Linked DNA regions of Rattus norvegicus. The protein of the gene in region 2 interacts with the protein of the main gene of each other region in a pairwise test. Links are inferred from orthologs where the notes say so. Each region holds a gene or a part of one and is shown on either strand. Other genes may lie near its edges. The genes, in order: Mief2, Rabac1, Snx10, Rab1a, Trim32, Lnx1 and Pbx3.

What was found.
Region 1: the proteins of Rabac1 (region 2) and Mief2 interact in binary tests that used the Homo sapiens proteins (3 or more experiments, as listed by UniProt). The two-hybrid records come from large-scale screens. The link is inferred for Rattus norvegicus from reciprocal best matches to the Homo sapiens genes RABAC1 and MIEF2.
Region 3: the proteins of Rabac1 (region 2) and Snx10 interact in binary tests that used the Homo sapiens proteins (3 or more experiments, as listed by UniProt). The two-hybrid records come from large-scale screens. The link is inferred for Rattus norvegicus from reciprocal best matches to the Homo sapiens genes RABAC1 and SNX10.
Region 4: the proteins of Rabac1 (region 2) and Rab1a interact in a two-hybrid assay, tested with the Homo sapiens proteins (2 studies listed by BioGRID and IntAct). The link is inferred for Rattus norvegicus from reciprocal best matches to the Homo sapiens genes RABAC1 and RAB1A.
Region 5: the proteins of Rabac1 (region 2) and Trim32 interact in binary tests that used the Homo sapiens proteins (3 or more experiments, as listed by UniProt). The two-hybrid records come from large-scale screens. The link is inferred for Rattus norvegicus from reciprocal best matches to the Homo sapiens genes RABAC1 and TRIM32.
Region 6: the proteins of Rabac1 (region 2) and Lnx1 interact in a two-hybrid assay, tested with the Homo sapiens proteins (2 studies listed by BioGRID and IntAct). The link is inferred for Rattus norvegicus from reciprocal best matches to the Homo sapiens genes RABAC1 and LNX1.
Region 7: the proteins of Rabac1 (region 2) and Pbx3 interact in a two-hybrid assay, tested with the Homo sapiens proteins (2 studies listed by BioGRID). The two-hybrid records come from large-scale screens. The link is inferred for Rattus norvegicus from reciprocal best matches to the Homo sapiens genes RABAC1 and PBX3.

Annotation. Positions count from the first base shown.
Region 1 is NC_086028.1:45,907,391-45,911,508, forward strand, and holds the start of Mief2 (mitochondrial dynamics protein MID49), read left to right. Parts: upstream 1-1,318; 5' UTR 1,319-1,439; intron 1,440-3,172; 5' UTR 3,173-3,178; coding exon 3,179-3,325; intron 3,326-3,551; coding exon 3,552-3,714; intron 3,715-4,118. Other genes in the region: Flii (protein flightless-1 homolog), read right to left, coding at 17-79. UniProt on the Homo sapiens protein: Mitochondrial outer membrane protein involved in the regulation of mitochondrial organization.
Region 2 is NC_086019.1:89,692,218-89,696,472, reverse strand, and holds the start of Rabac1 (prenylated Rab acceptor protein 1), read left to right. Parts: upstream 1-1,455; 5' UTR 1,456-1,560; coding exon 1,561-1,616; intron 1,617-1,858; coding exon 1,859-2,071; intron 2,072-2,316; coding exon 2,317-2,414; intron 2,415-4,122; coding exon 4,123-4,224; intron 4,225-4,255. UniProt on the Homo sapiens protein: General Rab protein regulator required for vesicle formation from the Golgi complex. May control vesicle docking and fusion by mediating the action of Rab GTPases to the SNARE complexes.
Region 3 is NC_086022.1:81,942,084-81,946,122, reverse strand, and holds the start of Snx10 (sorting nexin-10), read right to left. Parts: upstream 2,801-4,039; 5' UTR 2,751-2,800; exon of another isoform or gene 2,747-2,750; intron 1-2,746. UniProt on the Homo sapiens protein: Probable phosphoinositide-binding protein involved in protein sorting and membrane trafficking in endosomes. Plays a role in cilium biogenesis through regulation of the transport and the localization of proteins to the cilium.
Region 4 is NC_086032.1:98,622,230-98,626,476, forward strand, and holds the start of Rab1a (ras-related protein Rab-1A), read left to right. Parts: upstream 1-1,447; 5' UTR 1,448-1,624; coding exon 1,625-1,647; intron 1,648-4,247. UniProt on the Homo sapiens protein: The small GTPases Rab are key regulators of intracellular membrane trafficking, from the formation of transport vesicles to their fusion with membranes.
Region 5 is NC_086023.1:84,019,339-84,023,431, reverse strand, and holds the start of Trim32 (E3 ubiquitin-protein ligase TRIM32), read right to left. Parts: upstream 2,801-4,093; 5' UTR 2,744-2,800; intron 1-2,743. UniProt on the Homo sapiens protein: E3 ubiquitin ligase that plays a role in various biological processes including neural stem cell differentiation, innate immunity, inflammatory resonse and autophagy.
Region 6 is NC_086032.1:33,938,071-33,941,570, reverse strand, and holds part of Lnx1 (E3 ubiquitin-protein ligase LNX), read right to left. Parts: intron 1,499-3,500; coding exon 1,257-1,498; intron 718-1,256; coding exon 565-717; intron 1-564.
Region 7 is NC_086021.1:38,077,096-38,081,226, reverse strand, and holds the start of Pbx3 (pre-B-cell leukemia transcription factor 3), read left to right. Parts: upstream 1-1,331; 5' UTR 1,332-1,376; coding exon 1,377-1,576; intron 1,577-2,399; coding exon 2,400-2,473; intron 2,474-4,131. UniProt on the Homo sapiens protein: Transcriptional activator that binds the sequence 5'-ATCAATCAA-3'.

The DNA.
Region 1 (4,118 bases), on a different chromosome or scaffold from region 2:
CTTCCCCCCATCTAACCTTGAAGTCGTTGCCGCTGAGGTCCACGCCGCGCACGAACGGCAGCACCCCGGTGGCCTCCATGGTGGCGTAGCTCTCCTATGGGCTAGGAAGACGCAGGGTAGCCGGGAGCCGCGGGCTGGGTCAGCGCCGGCCCCGCCCCTTTAACCCGCGCGCGCCTCCTCCCGGCCGCGGCCTCTGCGGGAAGTGCTGCTAGGCGACTCCCAGAGCTTCAGGCCTCGAGTTGTGGGACTGGAGAGGCCTGCGGGGGTCCTGCTGGAGACGATCACCACTTCCAGTCTCCAGTCGCAACGTGGAGGGTCGGGTCCAGGCATTGTTGCTTGGGCTGCTGTAGACCCTGAGCTGGCCGTGATCCCGGAGAGATTTCGGTACCAACGTCAGGGACACAGGCAGTCTCTGCGTGAGGGACCCGTGGTGGTGGTGAGACTTCCGGGTCTTTGGGCCTAGCTCTTCATCTTTGGACTCAACTTTGCTCGTGTGTAACATGCTTCCCAAAATTGTCAGAACCAAGTGAGTACTCAGGAGTGTCAGAGAGCAGGATGCACAAACCCTCAAAATTCTCCCTTGGCCTCAGGATTCTAGCCAGTGCTCTTTATAGGCTTGTTTCATGCTCTAGAAGACCAGCATATCTCGTCAGCTAAGCTGTTAGTGGCCATCTTGCCCTGGCCTGCACATCGTAGGTTTCCAATAAACAGACACAGCTGTTCTATGGATGTACAGGGACTGGCACCCAGTGTTTCAGAAGGGAAGAGACTGGTAGAGTTCGCACAACAGGTAACAGAGCTCTTTTCCCGGTGTGTGCCAAGCGGGCCAAAAGGAAATGAGACCACCAGTCACTCTAGCAGGGGCAAACTTGAAAGACAGAATGTGGGCCTTTGGGCTAGGTGCAGTTTTGTCTGCCTGGTCCATCAAGGGACCGTGAGCTCAGACAGCTTTCTCCACACTGAGGCTCCCACTACAAGTACACACAAGGTCAGATGTGAGGCTAAGGCACGACTGCAGAGAATTCGATGTCAGTCATGGCTTTAGTGTGAGGCCCTTCTTCAACAAAACACCCCCAAAGTAAAACTAGAGCAGGCCCTGGACGATTGTCATTCACTCACTACTTCCCCCGCACCTTGGGTTTACAAGGTAACCTTGCGCCTTTAAATCCGGAGTGTCTGTGGTTTCCGCCCCCAGGTCCAGGGCGTGCCTGGTGTTCATTGGCTGAGCTGCTCAGTTTTGAGCACGTGTGCGCAGGAGTTGTGCGCTCCGATTGGAGCGAAGGCCTGCTTATCCAGCGTTCCTTTCGGGTCATTTGCCGCCCCGGGCCTCGGCGTTCGGTTCCCGGGGTCTGGACGCTCCATTCCTAAGCGGGTCCTCCTGGGCCTCCAGGGTCCTGCTCGCCGCGTCCTTGGGTCCATGCGCTGACGCTCGGACGCAGGTACAGCTACAGCGCAGGGGGCGGCCGGGGTCTCCTAGTATTGGGCGTGGCTTGTATCCCAGTGCAGGTGGGGGCGTGGCCTGTGGTCAACACTGCGGTGGGAGGGAGGACTTGGGAACTAAATATCCGAGTTCGAATCCCAGGGGTGCCTCTTCCCAACTTGGGTATTGCACAGGATTTCCAGGGTCTCAGTGACTTCGTTCTTGAATAGAGTCTAAGAGCCTTTTGTATGTGGTTACACGTTTCTGTTCAACCCTGATCCAGGGCAGTCAGCTTTGGCAGAAATGGAAGAACAGGTGACATCCAGGCTGTGAAGAGGCAGGTTATTTTGTTATTTTGTTTTATTTTGAGAAGCGGATCTATTATGTAGCTCTGGCTGTCCTCGAACTCAGTGTGTAGACCAGGCTTGCCTTGAACTCAAGGAGACCTGACCACCTCTGCCTCCTGAATGCTAAAATGAAAGGCCTGCGCCACCACAAGGGCCTGAGTTGGCTTTATTTAGCCACCTCTTTTATTCCCTTCTTACCAGAGTTTGAATACAAGACCCCTCCAGGTGTAGGACTGAGTCCCACGTTACGCAGGCGGTGGAATGTAAGCTAAGTCCCCTGTTTGCAGAGTGGCTCACTGGTCTGAGGGCAGCGATAGGTTTCGAGCTTGTAGTAGGTCCCCTGGCTGGCCTTTGATCTTGCCAGGCCCTAGGACAGGACAGGGTCTTATTTTTAGTTCGGGAGCCGTGGACAGGTGTCTCAGCTGAGTCACACAGTGCTTCAGGCTTCAACTACTCTAGGCATCTTGTCACTTGGCAACTAGGTCCCAGGGCAGCCATGGCCCTGAAGGAAGGGCTGAAGTCCTTGGTGCCCCATCAGGCAATGACCTTTCTGGCTTAGTGGACCAGGCCTAGAGATTCCTGTGTCTTTCTCGAGTTCCTGACCCGGCCAGTCGCACACTTCCCAATCTAACTCACTGGTGCAGTCATATAGATAAACAAAAGAAAGTCCTTGGCTCCAGGTCTTTCTCTCACATTCTTACCCTCGCCAACTCTGTTCAAGTCCATGGGCCCTGGGCAGCCTGTCCTGATTCAGTGTTTATTTAGGGTTACCTTACTCACCACTGGACTATGGGGCCCTCAGCCTGGTCTCTGATGGGGTTGCCCTACCCCAAGTAGTTTTCCTGTCAAGATCTGGGGGGCCAGTAACTAGATCCCTGAATTTGCTAAGGGTCTATCAAAGGTCTGACAGGCCTCACCCAGGCAGGCTTCCTGGAAACCCATATTGCAAGTCTTTCTGGGGCTTTGGGTTCCTCCTGACAGGTTGTCACACAGTGTGGCTGTTCTGGGTGGGTCCTGATGAGGAGTATGAGAACCTGGTCAGGAGGCATAGGGATAATACTCAGGCTGGGGGGTGGAAGAGTCTAGAGGCTGTGCTGTGAGTCCCAGACCTTACCACTCAGTTTGTGGCCTGGCAACTCATGTCTTTGTAGAGTAAGGGTGGTGATGACGAGCCCAGGTTCCCAGCATCTCGGGGTGAAGTCAGGACAAAGGCCTGGAGCCTTCCTATATCAGCCCTTTTCCAAGGCTTGGAAGCTTGCAGGTTCCAGGGAGGGGCTGGTAGGTCCCCTGCTTCCCTCCAAGAAACTCTTTGCGCAGCCCCTTTCTCTCGGGTCCTTAGAAACCGCCCTCTTGGTTATTGCTAAGCACCTATGCACGCTGGCCCTACGAATTGCTTCTCTTGCAGGTGACCATGGCAGAGTTCTCACAGAAGCAGAGGAAGCAGCATGGTGGCGAGGGCCTGGGCAGTGTGGTGGACTTCCTCTTGGCTAACGCTCGTTTGGTGCTAGGTGTGGGCGGGGCTGCAGTGCTGGGCATTGCCACCCTGGCCGTAAAGCGGGTAAGGCCATGGTGAGGCCTGCCTGAAACCTCCACAGGAGAAGGCCAGGACGGGGGAGCTGGGGGATGGTGGGACTTTTGGAAGTCGGACTGGAGCTCAGAGCCCCTACTTTTTCACCCTAGCTTCCTGGTTTGCTTTACTCCCCCTCCCCGCCGCCCCCAGCTTTGCCGTGCAACCCCGCACCCCCCCCCCCCCCATGCTCTGATCTGTGTCACTTTGCCTGTAGCTCATCGACAGGGCAACTAACCCTCGTGATGAGGATGACACCAAGGGGGACAGCTGGAAGGAACTGAGCCTGCTGAGAGCCACTTCACACCCCAAGCCCCAGCCCTCTCCTGCTGCCTTCAGCCAGCCCAAATCTCCTGTGTCCCCCTCCCCCTCTGCCCCAGGTGAGCTGCACTGCCTCCTTCTAGTGTGGGGAGTCCCCTGTGCACGCCCATGCGGAAGCTGCAGTCTTCACATATTTCTGTTCCTCTTTGGGTTGTGGGCAACTCAGATGTTTAATAGGTACTGTAGGTTTGTGTTTTTCTGGATAGAACCCAGTGCCTCACATGTGCTAAGCAAACGCAAACCTCAGCCCTGGGATCCTTGTTTTTGCCTGTCTGCTCTCTACTATAGCAAGGTTGCACCATGTGATGGTAGGGAGCCAAAGATGGGGAAACTGAGGCCTGGAGAGGGGCAGGATCTCTCTGACCCATTCTCCGTGAAGTTGTTGCAGTTGTAGAAGCCACAGTGTTGGGACTCTGGGCCAATGACTTTGTCATCATGCCCTCACTGTCCCATGACCTGCTTG
Region 2 (4,255 bases):
GGCTTCCACTGTCCCAAAGGACTCCTTTCCCAATTGCCCCAGACACCAAACGTAAAATCCCCTGTATTCAAGGCTCCTGCATTCTCCCAATTAGCTTGCCACTTTCTGCAACATACCTCTGCCTTCTCCGGAAACCCTGCCTCCCACATGGCTGCTCTCCATCTTTGCTGTGTTTGAGGAGCAGAGACTTGAGAGTTATGAAATAGAAAGACTTTTGCGTAGTCCTCAAAAAGAAACTGAAATGATTTCCACAACTGTCAAACCCAGCTGACCTTTGCCACCAAATGGTTCCCAAGGCTGGCCTTGTGGTGTCCCTCATTAGTCTTTAGGCTAACTGTACACTATATGGTCGTCCACTGACCTTCTGAAGCAATGCTGGACCTCAAGTGGGAAACCCAAACACAATTTCCTGCTGAGTGGCCCAGACTGGAACCCCAACTGCTCATGATTGCCCTGTAACACCAGTTCCAGGAGATCTAAAACCTGTTCTGGTGGCGCACACACATAAACATATAAAAGTAAATCTTTTCTTTTAAAATAAAAACACTTATTTTGATATTTAGTATATGAGTACACTGTAGCTGTCTTCAGACACACCAGAAGAGGGCATTGGATCCCATTACAGATGGTTGTGAGCCACCATGTGGTTGCTGGGATTTGAACTCAGGACCTCTGGAAGAGCAGTCAGTGCTTTTAACCACTGAGCCATCTCTCCAGCCCCCGAAACACTTATTTTTAAATAATGTGTATCTGAGTGTGGACATGTACACATGAGTATATCTGATCCGCTAGAGCTGGGGTTACAGGCAGTTGTGAACCACTGGGTGTGGGTGCTGGGAACCAAGCTATGATCCTTTGAAAGAGAAACAAGTAAGCTCTCTCCAGCCCCACTTCCAAAGTAAGTACTTTTCCTTTTTTTTTTTTAAGATTTTTTTTAAAGATTTTTTATTTATTGTATATGAGTACACTGTAGCTTGCTTCAGGCACACCAGAAGAGGGCATCAGATCTCATTACAGATGGCTGTGAGCCACCATGTGGTTGCTGGCATTTGAATTCAGGAAGAGCAATCGGTGCTCTTAACCACTGAGCCATCCCTCCAGCCCCAGTACTTTTCTTTTAAGGAAAGAAAAGGTAAATGAACTCTTTCCCAGGCTTGCCCAAACAGAATCAGCTTTCTGGAGTCAGAACGACAGCTCTGCATGGTCCACGGAAGCATGTAGATCGCCTGTTTTCGCCTGTTTTTGCTATTCCAACTCCTATCAAATCCTCTGTCCTGACAGCCCACCTGCTGTATTCCACTCTGCGCCTCTTGAAACTACAATTCCCACAATGCCTAGTGGCTCCCGAGCTCTTAGCATACATCTCCCAAGATGTCTTGCGAGGCAAACCTGCCTCTTGACGCCACGAGGACTACAACACCCACAATGCTCCGAGGCACAACTACCGCCCCCTAGAGCTCCCAGCGGCGCCACTTCCATTGAGTCCGGCTCGGGTGGGGCCGCCTAGGTGCTGCTGGGCTCGGGGATATTTACAGCGGTTCTATTCACTGCAGCGCAGACATGGCGGCCCAGAAGGACCAGCAGAAGGATGCCGAAGTGGAAGGGCTGAGCGCCACGTGAGCAAGCAGGGTGTTACCCCCAGATCCGAGACGCAGAAGTCCCTGCCCCCGCAAGCATAGATCTCTCCCCTTCAGAGACATCTCAGCCCCTCACCCCCTGGGAGGGACTCAGTTGTGTTACCTTCCTCCTAGGACCCTTCCCCCCCCCAGGGTTCAAGGTCAACCTTGGGACCATGTATGCTAGAATCTGGGGTCCGGTACCCTATTCCTGCCTTCATCTTCTCTGCCCCGTCCTTTAGGACCCTGCTACCCAAGCTGATTCCCTCTGGCGCAGGTCGAGAGTGGCTGGAGCGGCGCCGTGCTACCATCCGGCCCTGGGGCACCTTCGTGGACCAGCAACGTTTCTCGCGACCCCGCAACGTAGGCGAGCTTTGCCAGCGCCTGGTTCGCAACGTGGAGTATTATCAAAGCAACTACGTGTTTGTGTTTCTGGGCCTCATCCTGTACTGCGTGTGAGTGCCTCCGCGGCCCCGCCCTCGATAGTCCGGCCCCGCCCCCGGCTGCCAGGCCCCGCCCAGACCAGTTAGCACCTTTGTCACCACAAGACCTGGTCAGTCTGTACTCTTGCATCCACTTGACCAGGGTGCAGTGTGACCTTCGCTGACCTAGAAGGACGTAACTTCTGTTTGTCCAAAGCTACAGGGACCTGGCTGATGCAGCCTCGGATACCTAACTCCTGTCTCCCACACTCTTCCAGGGTGACATCCCCCATGCTGCTGGTGGCTCTGGCTGTCTTCTTTGGCGCCTGTTACATTCTCTATCTGCGCACGTTGCAGTCTAAGCTTGTGCTCTTTGGTGAGAAATCCCCTGCCCAAATGGCTTCCCAAGCCTTTCTGATCGTGGTCTCACGGAATGCAAACCTCCGAATATTTGGGACTCAAGTCGGCCCCTACCGAGATGCACACTAGAGTCATTTAACCTGGTCCTTAAGGGCTTAGACCTACCAGGTGCTCCCCTCCAGTCTCAGCTTCTCAAACCCAGAGAGACCCCAAAGCCCCTGGCACCTCTGTCTCAGGTAAATGACTTAATCCAGTTCCTCCCAAACCCCGACGTAAAACATCAGCTGCAGATACCCATACTGGACACCAGATGGCGACCTTATGCAGGCTTAGATCCGTGTTCCTTCCCAAACCTTCGGATTCTCAGAGGGGAAAGGCCCCACTGGGAAGAAAGGTGTCAAGGAAGACTCTCTGAGGAGAAATCCAAGGGTTTCCAAGGAGACTTAAAACAAGTCTTTCGGGGGTTGGGGATTTAGCTCAGTGGTAGAGCGCTTGCCTAGGAAGCGCAAGGCCCTGGGTTCAGTCCCCAGCTCCGAAAAAAAAGAACCAAAAAAAAAAAAAAAAAACCAAGTCTTTCGTGACCCAGCAAGTTTAAGTACCAGACAAAGATGGGCTGTGGCAAAGGAATACTGGAACTTGGCTTCTGCAGATAGTGGTCACTAGGGTGCACACGTTTCTCAGGCATAGGAGAGCCTGGCCAGGGGGTGGGGGGGTGGGAGGGGAAGCATATATATTCTATATATATTGAGAGCAGGGAATGCGTCTCGTTCCAATTATGTCGTCTCCCAGGAACTCACTAGGCTGGCCTCCAATTCACAGATTCCCCCCACCTCTGTGTCCAGAGTACTAGGGTTGAAGAAGAGGGCCAGCATGTCCTAGCCTTAAAAAATGTGTGGGCTGGGGATTTAGCTCAGTGGTAGAGCACTTGCCTAGCAAGCACAAGGCCCTGGGTTCGGTCCCCAGCTCCGAAAAAAAGAAAAAAAAATGTGTAATGCAGGAGCCCCTCTGGAAGACAAGTGCTTTTAACTGCTGGGTCACCTTCTCCAACCCTCACAAACCAAATTCTTGTGAAGCTCATCAGAGAACACATCCCCAAAACAGAAGCTGGCCTGTGCCTGGAATTCCAGCACTTGTGAAGCTGAAGCAGGAGAATTGCTCCAAGTTCAAAATAAGCCTGGGCTTCAGAATCTTTAAAAAAAAATAATAATCAGACTAAGTGTCTAGAGAGATGGCCCAGTGGTTAGAATTGAATACTGTTCTTGCAAAGGATGTGGGTTTGGTTCCTAGCGCCCAAGTCAGGTGGGTGCACCATAGCCACCTCCTCGGGCACCTGAACTCTCGTGTACATATGCCCACGCAGGGCATATACACATAGTTCAAAATAATAAATCTTTAAAAAGTAAAAAAAAAAAAAAAAAAAAAAAAAAGGACAAAAATGCTCAGGTCAGATTTGGCTCGGAGCCACCTGGTAACCAGACTGGAACATCAGGCCCTAGACTGAGGTGGCCTGGGGCTCCTGGGGAAGGTGGAGCAGGGGCGGAGCTGAGGAAGGTCGTTATGGGGACAGGTCACTTTGGGGAGGTGGGGTAGGGCCAGGGGTGGGAGGCCCTGATGTGAGGAGTCTGTATTATTACATGGAAGGTTCCAGAGTCACACTAGATGGGTGCAAAGTGGCTCTGGTTACCTCTGGGAACGGCTGGCTGTCTTACACCATCTGTCCCCAGGCCGTGAGGTGAGCCCAGCACATCAGTACGCCCTGGCTGGTGGTGTCTCTTTCCCTTTCTTCTGGCTGGCCGGTGCTGGCTCCGCTGTCTTCTGGGTCCTGGGTGAGTACAGGGTCTGTGTAGGGAGAGGCTG
Region 3 (4,039 bases), on a different chromosome or scaffold from region 2:
CAAAACTTATTAAAAGTGCAGGGTCTGGGGTTGGAGAGATGGCTCAGCAGTTAAGAGCATGGACTGCTCTTCCAGAGAGGTCCTGAGTTCAATTCCCAGCAACCACACGGTGGCTCACAACCATCTGTAAAGAGTTCTGATGCCCTCTTCTGGTGTATCTGAAGACAGCTACAGTGTACTTATATATAATAAATGAATAAATAAATCTTAAAAAAAAAAAGTGCAGGGTCTGACATACATGAGTCCTAAATCATTTTATACCTTTATTAGAAACCTGCAACACATTTGCTTGCTGATTAAATAATAAAATTGGCTTTATAATTTGTCATGATTTAGTGAGGCTATCACATAAAGCTCTACTTAGTCATTCTGGGGATCCAATCCAGGTCTTCACCTATACTAGCCAAGTGCTCTACCATGGACCTACACTCAGTCCAACCGCCCCTCTTGCCTTTTCCTCATTTTTTGAGAAAGGGTTTCTCTGAGAAGCCCTGGCTTTCCTGAGCTAGCTTTACACAACCCCACTGACCTCGAACTCATAGGCCCTCCTGCCTCTGAGTGCTGGGATTAAAATCCTGTGTCATCATTGCCTGGCTAGAACCCCCCCCCACCTTGGAATCATGGGGTGGCGGCACAGGCCTGTGATCCCAGCACTTGGAAAGTAGGTTCAAAACCTCTGCTACACACTGTGCAGCCCTGAGCCACATGAGAAGCTCCTCAAAAGGAATTACATTAGTAACAATAATGGTGTCAGTATGGTGGCTCATACTGTAACCCCAGCCCTTGAGAGTTCAAGGCCATCCTCAACTACAGATTATAATAGTTCATGTCTGTAACAGAAGCACTTAAGGGGATCAGAAGCTCAAGACCATCCTCTCTCCCACACTGCAAGTTAGAGACCAGTCTGGATAACATGAGATACTGTCTCAGCCTTTAATCTCAGCACTTGCGAAGCAAAGGCAAGGAGATCTCTTAGTTCGAGGTCAGCCTGATCTACATACATATTGAGTTCCAGGACACTTTTGTCATTTTTGAGATAAGGGTGACCTCAAACCCCTGACCCTCTTGCTGCCACCTCCCAAGTGTCCAGATTACAGACATGCACTACCATGCCTGACCTGCCAGCGATAACTTAAGTAGCAAATGAAGGCACCAAGATTTCAACTCAGAAGGGTCTGAAACCAGAAGTGGTGGCTAACGCATAGTCATGTATGGCTGGAGCACCGCATAGAGAGCTTACATGTTAACTCATACCTATCACGTTACTTAAAAATAAAAAGCCCTTTGGTGATAACAGCCCTAAAATCTAGGGAATTCTCCACTTGGCCATCATCACTTCAGCCAAGGCCTTCTGTTATAGGCTGGACCCTATCCTCAGGCAGTTCTCCCCCTTTCTCAAGTGGTTGTTACATCAAAGCCCTGATACCGAAAGAGGAAAAAGAAACTAGTTCCCCAATGCCTTAACTCAAAATGAAAGTAGTGCCATGCCTGGGCTGAAAAAGGAGAGAGAGAGATCAAGAAAGAATGCTTTAAAGTAGAGGAGAACTGTGTGGTAAAGGAGACACTTAGCACATAGAAAGAATGATGGTGCTCATTTCAAGACACCAATCTCGGAAGGTCTTGCTACAAGTGAAATAAAGGAAGTGGGTAACACGGCCAAAAGGCTGCAACCCCACCCCATTACCACCACGGGCACACCTCCTTGAGGGAGGCCCGTTTCTGTGACTAAGAATGTGCTGGCAGAACCGGAGATGGATGGTCTGGTTAACTAGAAGCTGCTAATGAGGTCTTGAGCATCTCCACATAGTCACTTCTAAATATATCTACATTTATATCGCTATTCGAAACAGTCTGTCAGTCAATCTCAATTCTACCACTCCTTTAAAAATAAACGGGGGCTAGGGTGCAGCTCAGTGGTAAAATGCTTGCTAATAATACGCTCAAGATCATGGGCTCCATTCCCAGGATCAGAAGGGAGGAAGACACGGTGAGTGAGACCGGAATGACTGTCCCTTGCCTTAGGGACAGGAATCAAGCGAAGTCATGCAGACTCCTCAAGCTCACTTAAGGTATTGTTGCCAGGACACTTAACCTTCTCGGCCTCCGCCTCCGTCACCTCCTCCTCCTCCAGAAAGCCCCTCATGGATTGGCCAGTGGTTGAAGGAATCCCCTAATGCCCCCAGCCCCCTTCCGGCCACTCCCACAAGCCCACTCCCAGGACAAGAGGGATTTTCATACACCCCTCCCACCCGGTGCGTGCTGCTCCACCCTCTCAGACCTTGATTTCCCCTGTCGCAAACTAAAAGGGCTGATGGAGATCGCGTAAATTGAGATCTCCGTGGAGCTCTCCACGCGCCCGTGCTTTGCGGAAACAGACATCCGGTGACCATCCCTTAACAATCCTTGTAATTTTAGCAAAGTGTGATGTGTCCAAAACCGATAAACAGGCTGTTGCTTCCCTATGTCAGCAAATCCGATCATCAGCATGGGTTTCCTCCGCGGCCTTTTCCATCAATCCCACAATCCCATGAAGAAGAAGAGGAGAAGAAAAGAAAAAAAAAAAAAATCCTTCCTGGCCCTCCCAGCCTCTAAACTCAAAGGTGCCTGGCCTTGTATTCAGAAAGAAGCAGGGCTTGGGAGGGAGACCGGCTCGTGCCAGCATCTCCGGCGCCCCAAGCCCGGCTGAGCAGGTGCCAGGGCAGGCGCAGCGCCCGCCACCCGACTCCCTCCCCTAGGTTCGGCTTACTCACGCGCGGTCCTGGACGGCTGGGTCCGGCCCGGAGCCCGGCGGAGTTTGCTGACTCAAGGCGCGGCGGCGACGAGCGCCCAAGAGCGCACCCGAGGAGCGCAGCCCCGCTTCCAGCGCACGCAGCGCCCCGCCCCGCCCTGCGCGCCCGCCGCCGCCCCCCACCCCCACCGCCACTGCCAGCCTCTTATGGGAACGTGGGAAAGGCCACCTAGCTAGCGGGTCTTTCTCCCTACCGGGCTGTGAGGAATCAAGATGAGGGAGGTCTATAACAGACAAGCATAACTACAGTTAACGGCGGGATCTCGATGGAGGGCATGTGACTTTGCTATCATAATATTTTTAGTATCTCTGTAACTTAAAAAAAAAACCTGTATTTTCATGAACGATGAGAAGAAAGCTATGAGATCTGCCAAAGATATGTCCGGTTCCTAAAGATCATTTGGGATGGATCTCACCCACCTGTGTGCATGGGAAACCTCAGTGGTGCAGACTGGGAAGATGGCTCAGTGTTAAGAGCACTCTTTGCCCTTACAAAGGACCTGGCTCCCACCCATACCGCAGCTCACAACAGACTTTAACTCCAGTTAACCGCTCTCTTCTGCCCAGGCACCCATGTGGTGCACATATACACAAGCAGCCAAGACACTCATAAAATAAAATAAATAAATCTAAGAACAAAAAAAGGAAAACTCAGCGATGAAAGTGAATCCTTTGACTCTGGGACCATCCAGGATCCTCCTAGAAAAGTTGTCCGGGTCTGTATTCCATAGCTACCCTGACGTTCTAAACAAAACTTATGAAAATGCAATGTCTTATCTTGGACTCGTATCTCTGAGTCCTGAATTATTTAATGGCCTAAAATTGCACACAAACTATAATACATGCAACTATCGGTTTTTGTTTGTTTATTTTGTTTTTTGTTTTTGTATACTTTCAAGTCCTTGTCTGAGTGAGTGAAATTCATTTCCTGGAAAACAAAGTACCACATATCTAAGATTCTGAGTGCCTGCTAAGTCCGAACTAATTTAGAATGTGACTTCTGACCTTTGTGTTTGCTGGAGCTCATTATGCAGACAAGGCTGGCCTGGAACACACTGCAATCACTCTTCTTGTCTACCAAGTACCGGGATTACAAGTACAGATGATCTTCCCAACACATCAGAGTCTGACCTCACAACTCTGGGCAGAGCCCCAACTGACCTTTCCAGTGTCTAGTGTTAGGGTTGTAGCCCAGAAAAAGGAAAACTATGAAAATAATTCAAAAAAGAAAGAAGCTACAGTGTCAGGCAC
Region 4 (4,247 bases), on a different chromosome or scaffold from region 2:
TCTATAGAGGGAGTTCCAGGACAGCCAGGGCTACACAGAGAAACCCTGTCTCAAAATACCAAAAACCACAACGATAACAAAAAAAACCAAAACCCCCAAAACCTATCTATGTATGGTCTGATGAGGCTGTCAAGTCACATGGAGGAAGTCCAGAGGGATGTGTAAAATATACTGAGTATATGGTTAGAGATGAGAACAGCCTCTTTTGCTTATTTTTGTGTCACTGAAATTCAGAAATTAAAAGTAAATCCGCAGTTGGAGATAATATTCTTGCTTAGAACAAGTTGGAAGATAAACTTTGGACAGTGTATTATATTATGCCCTTTGGAATAAATAACCCAAGATAATGTGTTAAAGTTTAGTGGAGATTTAAATTCCTGAGCTGATTAAAGTTAAGGTCTGAAAAATGTATTAATATTAGTTCTGGAGTCCAGAATGAGTTTCCTGGCTTAAAAAGACACTTATTATTACCCAATGTTACAGACGGACACAGAATTTAACTAATAAAAAACAAACAGCAGCAGCACCAACAGCAAAACAAACAAACAACCCCCAAAACTTAACAAACCAACCCAACCCCAAAAACCAATTCAACTTTAAGGCCTCAAGTAGAAAGACTAGGTTAAGGTTCATTTTAGCCTGAGTCTCAAAAGCACAATGCAGAGCCTTCAAAGGTTGGGAGGTCTAGATGGAGGAGCAGTTTCAGACAGGTAAATCTGATTGCGTGTGCAAATGGACGGGGGCAGAAGAGAGACTGGAGCAGGGTCCATTTGCAGCTATTTCAACATCAAGTTGCTAGAGTAAAACGGTAAAAACAAAAAAAAAAAATCAGAAAAGGAGTCGGGTGAGTGTGAAAGCCCAAGGCTACACAGGCCACCTGACTTTCCTTTTGTCCTTAGAGCAGCCCCAGACTCTGATGGGGTTGGCCACTGCGTTCTTGCCAGAGCAGAACTCGTCAAGTTGTCCCCACCCCGCCTCATTCGCGTCCCAGCGTTCCTGGGAGCCCCCTCCCCCTCGGCTGCGGCACCTCCCTCCGCCCGGTTCCTTCCTCCTCCCCCTCCCCGTGGGGCACTGACTCGCCCTGCTGCCACGTCTCACTGATGACATCAACACAGTCCGCTCGACCTTAGCCAATCCGCTAGGGGGAGTCCGAGCGAAGTCCTAGCCAGCAGGCCAGCGGGGAGGGGAGCAGGAAGGGCGGGGTGTGGGGGTGAGGGAATCGGGACGGGGCGGGCGACAAGCTCGCAAGGGCGCATGCGTAGAGGACGTGGGGCCTAGTGGGAAGCCGAGTGCAGGCTGCCCTCGGCCTCGTCAGGCTGCCCAGCGCGCGGAGTGCTCACGACTCTCTTTCCCAGCGTGCCCCGCGACGCTGCCGCCCTCTGGGCCGCGACAGGCCCCTTGGCCTAGGCTTCCCCAGTTCCTGGTTCGCCGGCGGCCATTTTGGGTGGAAGCGATCACTGAGTGGCGGCGGCTGCTGATTGTGTTCTAAGGGTCGGAGTGGGGTCGACGTTTGCTCTACCGGAACAGCTTAGCTCATTCCTCCCCTTCCTTTACCCGTGGCGCGGAGGCTTGGGGCGGCGGCTGCGTCAGCAAGGGCGGTGGCGGCGGCGGCAGCTGCAGTGACATGTCCAGCATGAATCCCGAATAGTGAGTGCAGGAGAGCCGGGGCGGGCCGGGGTGAGGGCGTCCAGCTGGGGTGAGGGCCGCCTGGAGGCTCGCTGCGCAGCACTCGGAAGGTCGACCAGGCGAACGAGACGGAGCAGCCCGAGGGCCCCATTGTCTGATGGCCGAGGGCCGCAGCGGGGAGGGGTCGGGCCTCCGGGCCGGGTCCGGGGCGCAGCCGGCGGGGAGCTAGGTGCCGCGGCCGGGCGTTGGGGAGTGGGCCTCGGACAGCGGCCAGGAAGGGCGCGTCCCTGGAGGCAGTGACGGCTGGAGGAGGACTTGTTTTTAAGGGGAGGTAGGTGGGAGAGTTCTGCTAGAGGGCACTGTCAGACCCTGCGCCGGCTCTGCGGAGCTGTCAGCGTCGACAGGGAGGAAACCAGCTTTACTTGTAAATCCTGAGCTTGTTAGAGCTCTCTCACGGTTGGATTTCTGGTAATATGGATGCTTCTTGGGACTGCGTGGGCTTGAGGGGAATGAGGAGATGGCGAGAAGCTATTTACAATGTTTAGTTTCCTTTAGGGCTTGTCTCCTGGAAGAGTTGTGTAAGAATTGTGAGATGTGACCCTTCTAAAATCCTGAACATTTGTGAAATTTTTGTTTTAGGGGGACACATGAGTCTCTCAGTCACCTTTTGTTTCCGGTAGGTTAACAACATCAACAAAACTGAACTAAAAATAAACTAGAAACGTCTTCCTGGCACCACCAAATTAAAGTACAAGTTTGCAGACAATTTTGAAAAGAAACTAATGGGGCCTTTGATGATAGAACTGTAGGTTTTAGATTACCTGGTTGAATGCCTGTAGATAGGGAATGAGGTTCCATGACGTGTCATGAAAAGTTAATGCATTCCTTTTTCTTGCTTACTCAAGAAGTCACTCTAGCAGATGTGACACACCTGGCACCTTCATGGGAACTGCTCTTGTCTTTTCTTGGATAGATATTGTTGGGCTCTCTCTTTGACCCTAAAATTCTCCTCTGGCTTCCATATATGAAAATAACTCGAAGAGATGTCATTTTTATTATACTTTAGTGTCAGAAATCTTTAAGGGAGAGGGATTTTTTTGTTTGTTTGTTTTGTTTTTTTTTTTTAATAAGAGAAATCAATACTGCCCTAAAACCTGGGCTTATTTGTTGCTTTGGTCAGTCCCCGCTAAGTGTGTCCCCAGGAAAGGTCCATCCATCAGCTCAGCTGACTTGTCATGTGTGTGTCACATGGCTCTTGCAAAAGACATTCTAAGTTCAAGTTTTCTAAGGCTGGTTTAATACTGAAATGTGCTTTTTCATTTGGGTTAAGCAGAAGTCTTGGTATCTTGGTAGAACTTTACATACTTTATTTTTATTGTGACACATGTGATTGCAGGTGCACAGGTGCCACTTTGTTTGCGGCAGAGGTCGGGACAGATTTTGGGAGCTTGTTCTTTCTCCCTTTGTGGGTGGCTTCAGGGAACTGAACTCAGATAAGCACTTTATCCACAGAGCTCTGTGGTTGACCCAGGCTTTTGTATTTCTTTAAGAAGTTGGGAACAGTTCATATGGTGACACACTTACTGTGGTGGCAGCCCCTCTCCCAGCACAAAATCAGTTTAGGGAATGAGGTTCCATGACATGTCATGAAAAGTTATTGGGATTCCTAGTTAGATTTTAGGGAAACAGAGAAGAACATGGATTTGTTAGGAAGGTTTCTAATTTCTATTTGAGAAGATTCCTATATTTGTTACATATGTATTTAAATATTTTTATTCTTCTCAAATTTCCTAATGCTATGACCCTTCAATACAATTCATGTTGGGGTGACCCCTACCCATGGCATTTTCATGTCTATTTCATAACGGTAATATTGCTATCGTTATGAATCATAATGTAAATATCTGATAACGCAGGATATCTGGTATGTGACTCCTGTGAAAGGGTCCTTTGACCCCCATCAAAGGAGTTGCCACTCACAGGTTGAGGACTGCTGGGTTAGAGACATCCCCTGGCACTGGAGTTAGAGTACTTGTGACCAGCTGATGTGGGTGCTGGGAATGGAGTTAGAGTTTTCTCCAAGAAGAGAAATATTCTTCACTACTAAGCGATCTCTCCAGCCCTTGTTATATGTATCTTTTAAAAAGATTTATTTATTTATTTTATGTACCGCATTCTTATATTTTTAAATACTGTAAGAGATTTAACTATAAATGACCAAAGTTAGATGTTACTTAGACTATTTCTCTTTTTATAAAGTAGTACAAGAGACAGTCATTTTTACTACCTATTAAGGTAGTAGTGTGTCCATGAGTATGTAAAAAGGACAGCTATCCAGATCATGTTGTAAACAGTATAAATCATTTTAAAGCAAGCTAGGACTTAGGAGTGTAAACCTTAACCTCAAGGGGCCTGTAACATAACATAACATACAAAATAGGTTCTATACATGTCAGATACTAGGAGATAGAGCATGCAGATGTGCAGCATGGGTCAGGACAGTGTGACTTTAGGGCAGAGTCACTTGTTCTGGTTGGCTGTTGGGTTTTGGAAGACTGTTCTAGAAGAGACATGTAAGGTAGTTCAGCAGAGGAAGCCATCTGCCACCTTTATGAGTTCCA
Region 5 (4,093 bases), on a different chromosome or scaffold from region 2:
GCTTGCCAACTTGTGACTTCTGATTCACATGCCCACTTAGCCATAGGCTCTGAAGCCCAGGATATGTCATGCAACTTACCTATTAACTTCCCACCTTATGGAATCAAGAGCAACATTTACATTGTGAGCTTTATGGAGAGAATGTACACTAGTCAGCACTCAGTGGAGTTCACTCTGTTTATAGACAGAGGCTGACTAGTGCTTGACCACCAAACAAGCAGTAAAACACCTGATTCCAAGGCTAACTGAACCTGCTCCATCATGTGTTTCCAGAAGTGATCTGTGTGGATATCACAGTCAAGTGTTCTGCCCTCAGCTCCAGTCTGATTTTAACTAGGAAATTGCCTCCTGTAATGTAGCTAGGTTTGGAGTTGATAAAGACAATGCTACCTTTCTGTTCCTGAGACCAAAATACACAAAGGAGGGTATTCAGAGCAGTCTCCTTCAGTCTAGCACTGTCCTTGGGCCAGAGTCTTCTTATCTCAGCTTCGTAGCTCCAAACTCCTTGCACTATCTCCCCACTGGTTCTGGTCTAAGAGCAAAGCAAGAACAAAGTCCAGGGCTTCTGCTGATCAAGAAAAGTCACCCCACTTTTGAATATGGGGCAAGCCTCCTTTTCATTAGGAAAGTCTGAAAAGGGAGGACCAAGACGACTGCAGCAAAGAAGCAAGAGGGGAGATTCTGTGGTGGCAATTTACACGGCAGTTTACTTCTGCCAGTTTTGGTGATGTGGCTTTACACAAGTGATCTCCTAAGCCTTAGTTTCATGTGTCACACTGGACATAGAAAGTATATTTAGAAGGACTGCCATGAGAAGAAAGTACACATAGATCTTTGAGAGTAGTAAATTCTTAACACTTACTAGGCACTAGACAGTAAGTACCCCGATTTATTTCACTGAGTCCGTACAGCAATCCTAGGATGCAGGTCTCTGAAGAGCTTGTGCATTGAGAGGTCAAACTTGTGCATTGAGAGGTCAAATAAGTCTTAAGATTTCAAAGCAGGAAGAGAAAAAGCCAGGATTTGGACCCAGAATTCTTGACTCTCTTGCTAGGTCCCTCATTTGTGGCATGATTGGCATTTCTGGCTAGGTGACAGTTTATTGTGGGGGTTGTTCACTAGAAATCAGTAGACCCCCACAACCCCTCAATTATGACAACTGACAATGCCTCCATCCAGACATGGTCAAATGTTTCCTGGCAGAACAAAACCACCCTATCTGAGAACTATGGTTTTAGGTAATGATACAGTCTAAATACTCAGTACATGTGAGGCTCTCCCTTGCTCCAACCCTGTTTTGTTTCTCGCCCAATTCTAATACTTCATTCATAGAATCACTGCCTCTTTGTGCTATAATAGACCTTCTATAAAATGATGTCAGATCTAAGATAATTTTGGCTTATACCTTTGAGGGCTTAGGGGTACAGAGAAAGGGATAAGTAGCAAAGCCCCTAGGTAGTTTATTGTTCTTCCCCAAGGCCTATAATGTTGAGTCTGTGGTGGGGAAGTTGGGGTGGTCAGAGTGGATTTAGTGAGAATACCTGTCTGCCTCAGGATTAAAGGGCCTTTAGTTAGCAAGTGAGGAAGACTCTGCCCTTCAGAGAATGTCAAACTCTCCTTCAGGATTTCTGAAGACCAGTGTCTTTATTTCCAAACCCCTACATTCTCCTAAATTCCATTCATTCATGCATAGTTTATTTATAAATTACTTTCAGGTCCCTGGGTCTTCAGAACACCCTCTGGGTTCAATTATGCAGAAATCAAGAAACAAAACAAACAAACAAACAAACACCTCCTTTAGTGGTCTCAGAAATTTCACCTGGTTTTGAATTGTACAATCTAGTTACAACATTCACTCCCCACCATTCAATCCTTTACAAACCCCATTCTCAACAATAAATCCCAAATCTAGAATTCAACCTCTTAGACTGTGTATGTTGCAACCCTGCAACTCACCAATAGCTCTTATGTGTCCCACATCCCTCTGGTACATCCTTTCATCTATTTTCAAACTCCCTACATCCTTTCATCTATTTTCAAACTTCCACTCCTATCACCCACGTATGGCAGCTCCAAACTCCAATCCTGTACCTTAGACTCTGCCTCCTTCAACCTTTTCCCTCATCTGCATTCCCCATCTTGTACTGTGCCACCTCCAACCTCCCCACCCCCGCCCCCGTCCTGCCTCACGTGTTGCCTTCAAACCTTTGCTGCGATTTGCTAACTGGGTACTGATTCCCTTGGGAACTCACCCCTCAATCTTTCCCAGATTCCGCTACAGAAATCCCTTTCTCTTCAGCATTTAGGATCTTCCAAGACTCTGGCTGTTTTGATCTCGGATCTTGCTACCATTACACCGATCTCCTCAAAGCCCTTAAGATTCTGCCCGCCAACACCCAATCTCATCCAGGCCTGCCAAATTCCTTTCTGCTTCTGATAGTATGCACCCAGATACCTCCAGGCACTTCAGGTCCTCGCATCTTACACATGCTGCACCCCGTCTCTCCGCATGGCCCCCACATTACCTCATACCTCTCTCCCGACATGCTGCAACTGCAAATTTCCTCAGCCCCTTTGCTCCCCTCCCCCAGCTGCATCTCAGCCCCGCCGAATCGCTCCTGAGCCCGTCCCTCCCCAACCCGGTCCTGCCACTCAGATCCAGTCCCCAAATTCTGCCATTCAATCTTGGAGCCCCGCGACCCACCACAGTCCCTGATCGCAGACCCTCCTTCCCGCCCCCTACCTGACCGCCCGCGGCTCCGACGCGAGTCCACCGCTGCCAGCCCACCCGCCCGCTGCCTCCTGCGCATGCGCTAGCGCGTACATCCCACGGCAATAGCCAATTTGTAGAATCGCCTGTCTGTCAACTTGCCCCGCCTCCCGAGGCATGCTGGGGCTTGTAGGCCCACGGCCCAGCGCCTGCGGCCCAGCTAAATGGGTAGGGATGGCTTCAGAAACCTAGGCCATTGCAGCGTGTGATCCAGCTTTCTGCGCTATTTCAGAGTCTAAACAGGGTTAGTCAATGCTAATCCCTCAGTAGTAGTCTCCAGAAAGTTCTGGCACCTTACAGAGAGACGCCTCTTTTAATCTTATGTAGGGAAGACGAGCACACTCCCTTCAAAGAGCAGCAGGTCCCCAGGCTAGGTCTTTCTGCCTGTGACACATCCCATAGTGGAGTCACAGAATACACAGCACTTAGGAAAGAGGTTTTCTTTGCCTCACAGCATGGAGGCGGATAGCAAAGGGAGAAAACAAGGAAAAGCCTGCATTCAGTCTTATCAGATGGTCAGTTCTGTGGCCCAGTGACTGGTCAGGTCCTGATGGGGACTGGTAATACCTGCTCTTGAACCTGATGAACACACAGTACTAGTTGGGAATATGAAGGAATCTGAAATACTAGGCTCTCATATTTGAAATTCCACCAAGCTGAGTACCCTCTGCACTGATGATAAGACAACAAACAAAACCAGTAATATCTTTAAACACTTGCCTACAAACTACAGACTTTGGGTAAAGAAACTGAGACCTAGGGGTCAAAGACCAAAGTAACCAGTTTCTACCTGCCAGAACCTGGATTTAATTTCTGAGAAGCATTCTTAACCTTGTTTTATTTTTCCGTTTCTTTATCTCGAAATAAAATTATGGGTTGTTTTGATGAATTACTAGAACTCAGAAAGATGGGAAAAGCAAATTTACCCCCCCCCCATCCCCAACTTGTCCAAGGTTCTATATCCACAGGACATCAGTTTAGATGGAACTCTGAACCAGGCTAGTCATTCTCCAACTGGACTCTCTTCTGGGCGATGCAGGAGTTCTCACACAATTTTACCCTGAGTACAGTGTTGTTATCTCAGATAATTCTAGAGCCCTGAGCCAATCCAGCCACCCAGAACTCCCAAGACCTGCTCAGAGAACATGTGACTCGAAGTTCTCTGAAGAAATTTTATCTGTGCTGGCAATCCTATGGACTGACCAAATGCCTAGAACTTCAAATGTGAAAGGATAGAAACCTGGTATACACACTTAATCAAGTTTATCTTGAGCTATCTTTAGTTCTCTGAATGGGCACTTATTACCAACCTTTGACTCTGAC
Region 6 (3,500 bases), on a different chromosome or scaffold from region 2:
TCAAGACGCTCGATGACCTGACCAGTCCTAGGACCCTCATGGCAGAGGGGGGAAACCCACCATTACAAGTTGTCCTTCGACAGTCACGTGAGTCACATGCACTATGACATGTGAGCACACATGTGTGTGGGTGTGCACAGACACCTCTACCCACACACTATAAACAAATTAGCATAGAGAAACAAAACAAAGGAACTAACTTGCTATCAGTTTATGTAGAACTTGCAGGTCTATGACTTTTCTGTTTCAACGGAGAGCCTGTGCATGGTGCCATGTGGTGAGAACGAAATAAAATGCTTTTCACTCTCTAACTATAATCATTATTTTCATGGGCGTAAGCCAGCACCTGGAGCCCAGCAACAGATGAATTTTTCCTCACCTGTGTAAAAGATGACAAAGAAAAGTCCCTGTCCTTACTCAGGTGAGGAGGCTACTCACGGCTATATATCCTTGGAAAGACAGAGGTCACAGAGAATGGGAGTCGGGCAGACTGCCATCATCCCTCAATGACTCTGGAAAACCAGCTTACAGCTCGCCTTGGGGTGGGGTGGAGATTTCGTTTACCTTCGGGGACAGTGTCGTTCTCAGAGTTGTCCCTGCCCTGGTCAGCGTGGTTGGCAACAGCACTTCCACTCTTCGTCCTTCGGAGAGCACTCAGGGCTCGGTTGATCTTTTTGAAAGAGCGGCTTCTCATAGTGGAGCGCTCAAAGGGCCGTGCTGAGGAAAGAGAGATCAATGGAGGTGAGATCACAGGCCCACAGCAGCTTTCCTTTAGCCAAGCGTGTTGCTCTGTGCCGGTGATCTCAGCACTCAGGAGGTTAGCCAGGAAGCTCAGGAGGCCAGAGCCAGCCCTGGTGCAGAGCGCGGTGTTGCTTCAAAACAAGCGAGAAGGAAACCTTTCAGGTATAAAACACACGAACAGGATGACAGGATATTAAGACAGTGATCGCTTAATGATAACAGTTTATTTATCTGTATTTCTCAATGTTTTATGTAGTGAAATAATGTATCTCACTTATTTAAGAAATCTGCTTTCCTCCTTTGGGTGAGAGTCACTTCGAGAGCAGTCATATCACACGGTCGATTACAGTTTCATTTCCCCTTGGAGAACTGGACATTGAGTGGCTGCCAAAACTACCAGAACCCATTTGCCCTTTAAAAAACATTTCTAGAACTTTCCACCACGAGTATTTACAGAGGGCAATCCCAGGGAAAACCAAGTGTCCAATTCCCAGACACCCTCCCATTTGACTCACCCCTGGTTCGGTTGCTCCGGCCAGTGTCTGAGGGGTTGGTTACCGGTTCACCATCCTCCACTGAGGACGTGTAGGCAGGATTGTCTAGGCCAGGCTCGTCTGTCATTAAAGAGATGGTGGCAGCAGCAGAAACCTCTGGGGAGAGCGTCGTTGCCGTGAGGCTGGCGCAACCATCAGGGCAGCCATCTTGTGAGCGTCTTTTCCTGTCTTTGGTCAGGCCATAGTGGGAGGCCCCTTTGCAGCTGGAACAAAGACAGAGGGGCACTTAGAATGTTTAACGACTTCCCCAATACATATGCTTGTCCCTGTACACCCCTCCCTTTTCACACATAAGAATTCAATATTTGCTTGCCAGCCAAATGCATTAATGACTTGTGAAGTAATTTTAAAAATTTCCTATTACATTTTCCTAGCATAATCTCCACTGTTGAGCAGTAGGAAGTCAAATCTACCTGAGTGGAGTTGAGGATGGGATCTCTTACATTTGGACTTGGTGACTGCTTCTTACTGCTGTTTATTTTGACTACGAAAACCCCTAATCACACTCTCACCCCTTTCTTTTGGGTTAGATCCAACAGCATTGGACATAAATACAAGCGGCCACTCCCAGATCCTGTATTTAGCTGCCCATGGAAACAGAGTCACACAGCCACAAAGCCACAAGCTTTACTGGGAACTGCTCTCCTCTAGGCGGTGGGAGTGATGGCTCCCATTCCTGTTGCTAGGTTGGTCTGGTAGTGCCTTGCATGCTCTTCAGAGGAATCAGGGCCAGGGACTCTCACACATGGGGAAATGTCACATCTCATAGCACTGGGGGAGAAAAATATCTGATTTTTTTTCTTACTGACAACAGAAACCTTCCTGTTCATTTTCTTGTTTCCATCCATTTTACTCACTGCATTTCCCTCAAACTCAAACATCGTCTGTACATTAGGGACAGGGAAGAATGTCCAGAGCTTCGAAAACTGGCGTTTGAGCCATTCTGGATCCTTCTTTTCCCGAATGTGTTTCCTTGCCACTGGGCCAATCGTTTCAGTTTGTTGACAAAGGTTTGGATCAGAAACTGGTGATGCTTTAACTAACCCACTGTACTGCTGGAGAGGGTATCAAATGGTACAGCCTCTGTTCCAACAGAAATCATTCTAACGGACTCCTTTGAATGTCCATTGGCCTAACATAGGTGTGCTGGTCATGTTATTCTGAATGACATTTTCATGAGGGTTGCCTCAGACCATCAGTAAACACAGATGTTTACATTTTGATTCATAACAGTAGCAAAATTACAGTTATGAACTAGCAATAAAAATAATTTAGGGTTGGGAGGGTCACTGCATCATGAGGAACTGTATTAAAGGGTCGCAACGTTAGGAAGGTTGAGGACCAACTGCCATGCGTGACTGATGTCTTTATTTTCTATTTATTTATTTTTCCTTTTTACACTCAGTGTGTGTGTGTGTGTGTGTGTGTGTGTGAACTATTTACATGCCTGGTGTTGGCAGAGGCCAGAAAAGGGCATCAGATCCCCAAAAACTGGAGTTATAGACAGTTCCGAGCTTGCATGTGGGTGCTCGAAAGAGAACCCAGGTCATCTAGAAGAACACCCAGTGCTCTTAACTGCTGAGCTCTCTCTCTCTCTGGCCCCTAAATGCCCCAAGGGTTGGAGAGATGGCTCACTGGTTAAGAGCACATACTGTTCTTGCACAGGCCACTTCGCTGAAGCTCAAGCTCCAAAGGGATCTGACTCCTCTGGCTTTCATGAACATTCCTCTTGTAACCCCCCTACACCCCCACACACAGACCCCACACTCAGAGACACATACATATACACAGTCTAGAAATGATATAACGAAAAAATGTTTTCTTTCATTAAAAAGACACACCCAAGGGGACGAAAGGCAATGCTGTACTTTTCATGGAAAAGGGTCGCTTGTTTCACACTGAGCAATTCAACCCAGGCCAGAGGGAGTTGCCAGGTTCACCTAAGCGCATTTTGAAGCCACGAGCGTCTGGTGTGAGCAACCTAGCCATGTTTAATGGCGTTTGGGGTAATTTAACTGGAGGCACAGGTAAAGATTCCCTTTCCTTGTCAGCAAACACAATACAACTCTTCTAAGAATCTGTAGTATCCTAAATGGGATGAAATGTGGCGCTCCTCTCAGTAGAAAGGGCCTGTGATTACACAACTTTACACCCTCATTTTCTAGAAGATGGACAGGCCTGTACAAGCCACAGCTTGTACTTTTG
Region 7 (4,131 bases), on a different chromosome or scaffold from region 2:
GGCAAGGCTTTTAGACCCTCTTTCCCGGTCTCAGCCCAGGACTTTCGAACGCTCCAATTGGGACAACCCTTTCTTGGCTCTGTCCCGCCTCATTCGGCGCTGAGCGTAATGCGATTGGCCCTGGACTTGCGGCCTTGTGCCCAGAGGGTACCACCTCTTGACAGGAAGAGTGGGAAAGTAGACCAGGCACTGTCCGAGGCGTGAAGCTCATCTCATGCAACGGGGGACCACGCCGTTGGCTACGGGGAGACTTTATCCGGTCCTATACAACACCCCCTAAGTCCCCAACTGCTAACAATAGGAAACGTGCAGGGGCCGGGGGCAACACTTTGCTGGCTGGGCTGTCCATCTGTGGAGCGCGGGCGCCGGTAGCCATAAGGCTCCCGGGCGGGCTCTCAGGCGCCCCACAGTAGAGGCCAGAGGGGACGGGCCGAGTTCTGGGGGACGGGGCCAGTGGCGGCGGCGGGAGGCGCAAAGCCCAATGAGAGAAGACTCCGCCCCAGGAGGCGGGGCATCCGGGGCGCTCCCCCGCCCTTCAGATCTCCCCGCCCCTCCCCCCGCGGGCGCCGGGGCCGCAGTGAGTGAGTGGCACTGGCAGCCTGTCAATCCCTCAGCCGAGCGGCCTTCGAGCCCGGTCCACGGCGGCTGCTGACTGGGTGCGCGGCACCGGAGGTGGCGGCGGCGAGTTCTCCCGCCTCATCAATCTGCTGTCCGCCCGGCGTGCGGCCCGCCGGGGCCCTCCACCGGGCTCCGTGTCCCTGCCGCGCCGGCCCGCCCGCTCCCAAACTTTCCTCCTCCGCCCCTCTCTCTCCCCGCGGCCCGCCCGTCGGCCTCCATCTCCTCCTCCTCCTCCTCTGCCGCCGCCCGCCGCCGCCGCCGCTCCCTCCCCCGGGGCCGCCGGTGCTCGGATCCCGCCCGGTTGAGGCGGCGGCGGCGGCGGCGGCGGCAGGCGGCTGAGGGAGGGGACCGTTCTGGCTGGCGCGGGCGGCGGCGGTCGCGGCGTCCCGGCAACTCGGCTGGCGCTGAGGACCAAGTTGTGCGGGGCCGCCCGGCGCGGCGCGGGGCGCTGAGGAGGCAGCGCGGCGGCCGCGTGAGGGCAGCGGGCACCACCGCCAGCGCCTCCGCCGGCGAGAGCTCCGCTTCCGCCCGCCGCTGTCCTCAGTCTCCGCCGCGGCGGAAGCCGGAGCCGGACGCCGGTCCGCGTCCCCTCAGTCGCGGGCCGCGCCGGGCCAGGCCGCCCCCTCCCGCGCGGGCGGGGAGCGCGCGGCCGCCTCCCCCTCCCCCTCCCCCTCTTTCTTCTCCTCCCTCGCCGCCGCCGCCGCCGCCTCAGCCTTCGCCTCCGCCGCCGCCGCCCGCTCCCGCCCGCGCGCGGCGGGATGGACGATCAATCCAGGATGCTGCAGACTCTGGCCGGGGTGAACCTGGCCGGCCACTCGGTCCAAGGGGGTATGGCTCTGCCGCCTCCCCCTCACGGCCACGAAGGGGCGGACGGCGACGGCAGGAAGCAGGACATCGGCGACATCCTCCACCAGATCATGACCATCACCGACCAGAGCTTGGACGAGGCGCAAGCAAAGTTGGTGTCGTCTCATTAAGCATCTTTTGTGTGTGTACGGGAGCCGGGCTCGGGTCCCGGGTGGTTCCCGGGACCGGGGCCTCAGTCTCGGGCGGGAACTTTCTCCGCCCGCCGGGCACTTGCCGAGTCCTCCATCGCGCGGGCAAAGTTGCTCGCCGGGTTCGGGACAAACTCGATCAGTGCTTCGTCCGTGCCCCGCTGCCCGGCCCCCTCCCCGGATTTAAACATCCCGCCCGGGCCCCGGTGCGCTCCGCGTCCCTGCCGGGTCCCGGACCGCACCGCCGGGAAGTGCAACTTTCTCCGCCCGCCCAGACTCCGGGCATCCACTCCCCTCGGCCCAGTCCGGGGTGACCGGCTGCTTTCCCCCACGTCCCTGTGCGGGAGCGCCAAGTTCTCTAGGAGGGAGGGCCGCTTGGCAAACTTTGCGGAGCTGTCACCCGCTGATTATCAGCCGCCGGCCGGCCGCTGCGCCCGCTGCTCCTGTGGAGCTTGGGCGTTGGGGTCCCCTCCGCGTCGGTCTGGTCCCTTGGGTCACCGCCGCGCTCCCCGGAGCGGAGCCTTATGAGCGGGTCACTCCTGCGTCTGCCGAGGCTTCTGTCGGCCCAGCAGATGGGTCACGCTGCTATCGGGCTGAAGCTCTCGCCGCTAGAGCTTGCAGCCAGTTGCGAACTAGTCAACTTGAGTTTTGTTGACTTCCCGTGGTTCAAAAGAGCTTTCCCAAATAGGGGGCCGGTTTTAAATCTTGGGTCTAACTTAAAGGAAGGCGCCATATTATTCCAATAGGTGATGCTAATACCTTTGTGTTTTGCTGTTTGTTTTTTAGGAAACATGCTCTGAACTGTCACAGAATGAAACCGGCGCTCTTCAGCGTCTTGTGTGAGATCAAAGAGAAAACAGGTAAGACTCTGCTGCCCACAGTGGGCTCGGAGACCCCCGAGGTGGGGTCAGATCTACTCCTTCGACTCTCCAGTTGAGAGCTGCTGCTTTTGGGCACCGCCATCTTTGATCATTCTTTGCTTCCCACCTCCTGATCTTGAGAAAAAACTGCAATAAATCTGGAGTCTATTTCTCAATTCTGCTTTGGTACAAAATGAAGTGTATATGAGAATGGAGCTGGGTCGCAGTTCCCTAGGAAGTAGTCCCTGGCTTCAGACGGGGAGGGGGCTCTAGCTAGCCGCCCTCTCCTATCTCTTTTTGCCTTGTGTAGCAGTTTTTAAACGGAGCAGTGGGAGACTGGATGCCAGGGACCAGTTCCCCTGGAGAGGCATCACCAGAACTTTGTTTTACTGAGACAGTTTTGAGCTTCGGTTCTACTGAAGGCACAACCGAACACGCCTCAGTAGCACCTTGGACTTAGTGCTTTAGATGGGAAGATTTTTAGGAATCCAGGAAGGAAGATCATGTGCTTAGGCATGTGCAATGTATCACGCCTATTAGTACTTATATTACAGTCTGTCTTACAACTGCTACACTTGTAAAACTGAGCTTCAGTGTGTGGAGAAAGATGTCCACAGATGCTGACGAAACCTTCTGAAGTTCAGGGCAGGAGCAGCATAGGTTTTGCAGAAGTGCTAGAATGAAAATTGCTGATACATATTAGGGAAATTTTTTTGACAGTTCCTTATAGTTTAACTTTCTTGTCAGACTTTTTTTATTTAAGGTAAATTTACTCTTGACTTAAGGGTAAAGCTAAAGTATATTCATGTATATGTGTATTTATACACATATATATCTCACATGTTTTAGTTTGTTTAGTTATCTTTCCTGTATGTGGTAAAAACAAAGCTCCATTGATCAAGCTTTACCACTGATCGATTGATTTATTTGTTGTATGTGTTGGGTTGTATTGCTTTTTATAGTTGCCTTTTGTAAATTGAGGCAAAGAAGAAAAAAAAAATCAAGCTCAGTGTATTGCATTTTCCAGCTAATGCTGTTTTAATGTTTCAAGGTTTGGCTGTCTTTGAATTGATTTTACAAATAATAATAATTGCCTAGGACTGTTAGGCAGGAAGTCAAGTCATACTCTTTTTATAAAAAACAGGTACTATCTATAGTCCTAAAAGTAAGTCAGAGGAGATGGTGGTTTATTAGCCTCTCTTGATGTATATATGCTAAACCATAATTGCTAGTAAATATTGAGAGCTGAAAGAAGTAACTTTATTTGCTTCTCATTCGTAAGCCATGATTTTTTTTTTTAATGATAGGTTTTTGTTTTTCTTTCTTTTCTTCTCTTTGGCGACACACTTTACATTCTGAATACCAAAGTCATTTTAAATTACTGACTTGTTACATGTTGATTTTTAGAAACCTTGAGTACCTTATGATTTAAGATGGCAGATGATTTTACTCTAAGTATAAAGACACCCGGCATTGAATCTTGAAGGCTTTTAATCTGGGTGAATGAAAGTATATAACTCTTAGAACATTTATGTTGCTTAATTTCCAAGGGTTTCCTTCCTATCAGGGCTGTACTCCAGTTTGTGCTGACAGCTAAGCACTGGAGTATTGACTGTGCTGTGAATATTAAGATTGATTCAATTTTATATGGCACTATA